2 linked regions of the Saccharomyces cerevisiae S288C genome follow. The gene in region 2 interacts genetically with the main gene of each other region. Each region holds a gene or a part of one and is shown on either strand. Other genes may lie near its edges.

What was found.
Region 1: mutations in PAU11 (region 2) and MAY24 together harm fitness more than expected from each alone (negative genetic interaction), as found in Saccharomyces cerevisiae (2 studies listed by BioGRID).

The regions. Positions count from the first base shown.
Region 1 is NC_001148.4:831,802-835,050, reverse strand, and holds MAY24 (May24p), read right to left. Parts: upstream 1,363-3,249; coding exon 1,358-1,362; intron 1,224-1,357; coding exon 806-1,223; downstream 1-805. Other genes in the region: PIN3 (Pin3p), read right to left, coding at 1-486; URN1 (Urn1p), read left to right, coding at 1,593-2,990.
Region 2 is NC_001139.9:5,733-8,437, reverse strand, and holds PAU11 (seripauperin PAU11), read left to right. Parts: upstream 1-1,785; coding exon 1,786-2,148; downstream 2,149-2,705. Other genes in the region: YGL260W (uncharacterized protein), read right to left, coding at 1,348-1,578; YGL262W (uncharacterized protein), read right to left, coding at 2,599-2,705.

The sequences.
Region 1 (3,249 bases), on a different chromosome or scaffold from region 2:
TTGAGGCTGCTGATAATAATTTGTGGAAGGTGGAGGAAATGGCTGCTGTTGATAAGATGATGCGGCACTATTTTGCGTGGGGATTTGTTGTAATTCTTGAGCTTTATACTGTGGAGGTGGTGGAAGATTGGATGGACCGTTAGACCCAGAGAAAGCTGGCTTGACATAGTTTGCTGGGAAAATACCGGTACGGCCATTACAGCTACCCTTGTACCACTCTGGAGATAATTTTTCTAAAAGTTGGACCTTGTCACCTGGTTTTAAGCCCAAATCACCATCTTGTTGAGGATCAAATTGATAAAGAGCTTCGACATATTCCAAGGAAGCTGGACTGGCGTTGCGGGGTGCATTGGCAGGATCCCATTTTGCCGGCAAGCTCTTATTTATTTGATCGTAAACGTCATTTGAAATGACATTTGACCCTTTTAGAAAATCCAGTTCTGTCCTAATGTTTGTTAAGGAACGATTAATCAATGAAGCAGACATTTTTGAAATATCAGATTGCCTTCTTTCCTAATGTTCTTGTGTTTGCGCCAATGTGGGCACTTTGCCTATTGTCTCAACCGATTTGAGGTTCGACTATATATGCAGCTTACAATATCCATCCCCGCCTCGAAGGAGGCTCGGTTAATCACGCTGCACGAACGAAAACAATAGTTAAAGAAACGTTTAGAACAATCTAGCGCTTTGAAGAAAGAGTATTAGGCTCTTTACGTGAAGGATGGCACATTCTCATTCAAAAGTTGCTGCTAACTTTTATCATCAAATCAGTAAACCCCTTCTTGTTTTTTCTTGACAGAAGCTTTCACATAACGGAACCAACCATGGAATAACTTAGCACCACATCGAAAAGGATTTGGACTACTGCGCAACAAAGTGGGACCCATGTAGACATAGAAAATAAACCAGATCTATAGATCGCACCTATTAAAAACCCCATAACTGTACCAGTCGTCAAGCCTTGAACGCCTCCGTATAAGACGTACATGACGAATATCCATACACTTCCAGCCTTCTTTCTATGGGTCAAGCTAGCATACACACCAGCAGTAACGTAAAATGCACCATTAAAGATCAAAGTCCAGTACAGCGAAAATTTCCAAATGTCAGATATATAGTATAAGAATGCAGTATTATACTTCGAGTTGTTGATGGGCCAGTATAATGAGGGGAATTTTGGCGTTACATATCCAACAGGTATATCGTTATTTGTTACGAATGATCTGAGCACAGGGAACATGCGACAGAGTAGTGGATGTTTTTATTGTTAGTTTTGTGCCTATTATTTTCTTAAGCCACAGGGAGCGATGCCTGCATCCAGCCGTGGCGGATATAGTCTTGGTAATGAATAACATACCTCATAATACGGCAGGAAGTTGGAACTGATCTTGTTGGCAGTTTTTATCTTATACAGAAGCGTCAAGAGTAGGAAAAGGTTTTATTATTGCATATTTATCAACTTTCAGTATGTTTCTTTTTTTCTTCGGCAATGAAAGAGAAAACAATATAATTGAAGAAAGAGGAAATAGTGTCCGAAAGAGATTCTGATATGTATTATAAAGAGAAAGACAGTTCAGTAACACAGAATCGCCATGCGTGGAGAATGGCAGGAATTTAAGACACCTGCAGGCAAAAAGTATTACTATAATAAGAACACGAAGCAGTCTCGATGGGAAAAACCTAATTTGAAGAAAGGCTCTAACCTAGAAAGCAATGCGAAAGAATCACAGACAGAGAGGAAGCCAACATTTTCATTAGAACTGGTTAATGGTTGGCACTTAATAATATACAACGATGGTACAAAACTTTACTTTAATGATGACTCTAAGGAGTTCAAAAATGACATCAGTCAAGAGGACGACAGCAGGTGTCGCTCATTAATCGAGTCGTTAGATAAGGAAAAACTGGTTCTTCTGATTGGCGTTGCCAGAGGTTACACTATGCGGGAGGAGGACATTGATAAAATCCTCGAATCTTGCAACGAAGAGATTCATCTATTTAAAAGAAATCAAGACGAAGTTGAGAGAAAAGATGAGATCAGCGAAGAGGCGGGTGACGTAAAATCCCCTTTACAGGAAAGCCACACTGGGCTAGTCAGCGGGTATGGTTCATCTTCGGGGGAGGAAGACGAAGAGGAAGACGAAGAGGAAGACGAAGAGAATGAAGAACAAATTGTAAATCAAGATATCAGCATTATCGATGATCTGAATCGTATTGATACAGATGACATTGACGAGCGTAATATCTTCTTCGAATTATTCGATAGGTATAAACTAGACAAGTTTTCCACGTGGTCGCTGCAAAGCAAGAAAATCGAAAACGATCCTGATTTTTACAAGATCAGAGATGACACAGTTCGTGAAAGTCTTTTCGAAGAATGGTGCGGCGAGCGCAGTGGCAATGCCACCGCTGAAGAAAGCGATAGCGAAGATAATAGCGAAGACGATAGCGAAGTACTAGAACCAACAAAATACCATTATCTGGCACAAATTGTTGCTAATGCGGGAACAATCGCACCCGACACCATCCCACAAGATATAAGGAAACAACAAAAAGCGTTATACAAGGCCTACAAAATCAAGGAGTATATACCGTCGAAGCGCGACCAAGACAAATTCGTTTCCCAACTGCTGTTTTATTATAAGACGTTCGACTTGGAACAGCGGAAAGAGATTTTCTGCGATTGCCTACGGGATCACGAACGAGACTTTACGGGGGCAGTCGAATCGCTGCGTCAGGACAAAGAGCTTATCGACCGATGGCAAACACTTCTGAAAGCACCCGCGGACAGTAGTAGTATAGAGGATATATTGCTGAGCATTGAGCACAGGTGTTGTGTCAGCCCAATAGTGGTGACGGAACCACGCTACTACGTCGTGGGCATTCTGGAGAAGACCGTGGTCTGGGTGCGGTGGCTAGCCGCCGAGGTCGGGCCATCAAGCCGGTTTACCCCAGTGGGCGCGGGGAACGAGCCGATAAATCCGGAATAGGAAGGGCAGACCAGGGGAGCAAAGAGTGATTAAGCTTACGCACCTGGTATGGACGTGATGGAAGTGGGGTGGTGATAGCAACCAGAATACGGTAGGGTCTTTACGCTTAGTGTACCTATCGGTATTCAGGCTCTTTGCCAGTGATTGGGGCTGCGGGATCCGCCATCATATCTAGTCACTTTTGTATAAGAATGAATGATAAGAGCAGGTGCAATTTTCGGACTTTAGATGTTTCTTGTGTTTCATTATTTATAGCACA
Region 2 (2,705 bases):
TATTTTCGAAAGAGACAAAATTTAACAACTGATCAACCAATGAAAATAGAGAACAAGGAAGAACGATGAAAAACCTTATTCCAAGATCATAACACCTTATATACTCTCAACTTTGAAAGCAGTTCCAAAGCTTAAATCCTCGAAGAGTACTGCTTGCATGAGGTTTACGCAACAGGTCTAGTCAGTTTTAACTCCTCGGATATCTCTCGAGATATTTTGCTATAGTGAGCGATAGGGTAGCAAATTTTTGGACCCTTAACCCCTTATACAAATTACCACCATATGTCCTTTTCTGCAGCGAAAACCTCGGTGTTGTCAGAAACAATTTAAGAAAAGCACAGGCGAAATTGGGCTTGCACTGGGTGATCAACAATGCCAGAAATATATGAGAAGCTTTTTACTCTTGCTTTTGCTTCTTCCTCTTTTTGTTCAAGCCAGCCAAGCTATGTTATAGTGTTGAATGTCTTGAACCGTTATAGTTTCTAAATATAACTTTACATTTTGTTATGCAATCTTCATCATCTCGAACTTTTCAACAAACGTTCAACAGTGATGGTCTTCCCCAGTGAACCAAAAGACATATGACGCTCGTATGGTATGTTAAAAACAACATAGAGGATAGTAGGTCGGGGTTTATTGTAGAAAGGACATAAATAGTTGACGTGGTAAATTTTCATCAACTAAAGCCACATCTATTTTGCCAAGTAGGAGATAATATAATATGTAGAGGGATCGAGATTTACTGAAGCCTCACGTGAGGGCAATCTGGAATCAGATTGCACTGGTTTGCACCATACCTCTCAAAGAAGAAAACGTACTACTTTTTTAGTTGAGTATGAATAGGGTAGTGTTTCCTAAAGTTATAAGGTAAAAGGGGCAGAGGAAAAGTCGATAATAATTTGAAAGAAACTTGCTTCCATATTCACAAAAGAGCTGGATACTTCATGTCATCTGCACATATATCTACAAAAATTTCAGCTTTTTGAGGTTGATACTAAGTCTTTCGCTACCAAAATGAAAGAAATCAATTTGGAGAGACTTAGGCTGAATATTTCCGCGTTCTCTCTGGGAATGAAAGATTTCTTACTGCAAAGAGTTTCAGTATTTACGAATTGGTTACAATTTTTTTTTTTTATCATACACGATTCTTTGAACATCAACTTCTCTCAAAACCATCCGCCTTCAGCGGCTACAATTACGTAATTGCACCAAGGCATTCGCGGAGAATTCACAAATTTGCAGACGCCAACAGTATACGACTCCCAACACACGTTTAATGTTGTACGAATTCAAGAGATAGAAATATTTCTTGCATGGAAGCCGTTTAGAACAGACTGAGTATGGGCTTTAACAATAAGCTTCTGTACGAGGGTCCAAATCTAAAATTCGGATATTCTTTTTGACCGAAAAAGGAAATGTCACAGGCACAGAAAAGGGTTTTATAAGGCACCTCGGCACCCTATAATTGGCATTCCCACATTCTGCGCATACGAATACACATGAGTGCCATAATACAATACTCCACATACGAAGTCTATGAAAGATGTATGATTCGTTCAGAAACAAGAGCATCTCCATAGTGATAATGAGATTGTGTGAAAGATGAGATATGGAGGATATGTGAGGTGCTAAATGAGCATCTGTTAACGAATCGTTTAAGTAGTGATGACTGATAGAGGAACGGGTATAAATAGAGCTGCTTCAACTGTATGCTTTTGAGAATATATCTTTATTTCTTTCTTTCCTGTTAAGCTTATACCAGCACTAAAAAACAAAACAAATACAATGGTCAAATTAACTTCAATCGCCGCTGGTGTCGCTGCCATCGCTGCTACTGCTTCCGCAACCACCACTCTAGCTCAGTCTGACGAAAGAGTCAATTTGGTTGAATTAGGTGTCTACGTCTCTGATATCAGAGCTCACTTGGCTCAATACTACATGTTCCAAGCCGCCCACCCAACGGAAACCTACCCAGTTGAAGTTGCTGAAGCCGTTTTCAACTACGGTGACTTCACCACCATGTTGACTGGTATTGCCCCAGACCAAGTGACCAGAATGATCACCGGTGTTCCATGGTACTCCAGCAGATTAAAGCCAGCCATCTCCAGTGCTCTATCCAAGGACGGTATCTACACTATCGCAAACTAGAGACAAACGCCTTTACGAACGAAATTCTATAGACATTGGTAAGTAACGAAAAATAAAATATAGAAATAAAAAGCTCTTTTTGATGATATAAATACAAATTGTAGATAAGTGTAATATAAATAAAAGATCTGACCATATATTTAAGCCGGAAAAAAATCCCAACACCAAAATAAAATGTAGAATAGATGAATAAATAAAATTTTCAATTATAAAAATAGAAAATAAGTTAAATTTGACGGCTCCATTTCTATTAAAATTGAAAGTATATGTGAAAAAAAATCATGCTAGGGATGTCTCTCACAATTCAAAAATCTAGGAAATAAATTTAATTATTTGATATAACATTATAAATCGTCAACAGAAGCTTTTTCCTAAGTCTTAGTAGTCAATGCTTTCAATATTTGCGCATCTTCTTTCATTGATTTAAAGAAAGATTGAAAATGTCTGGCTTTATAACTTTAACATCAAATATAATGATATCGTAGTAAGGTTAACCTTTTTTTTCCAATATTTCATAACATAATCGCAGATGGCCTTTACCACAATTGTATCAATAA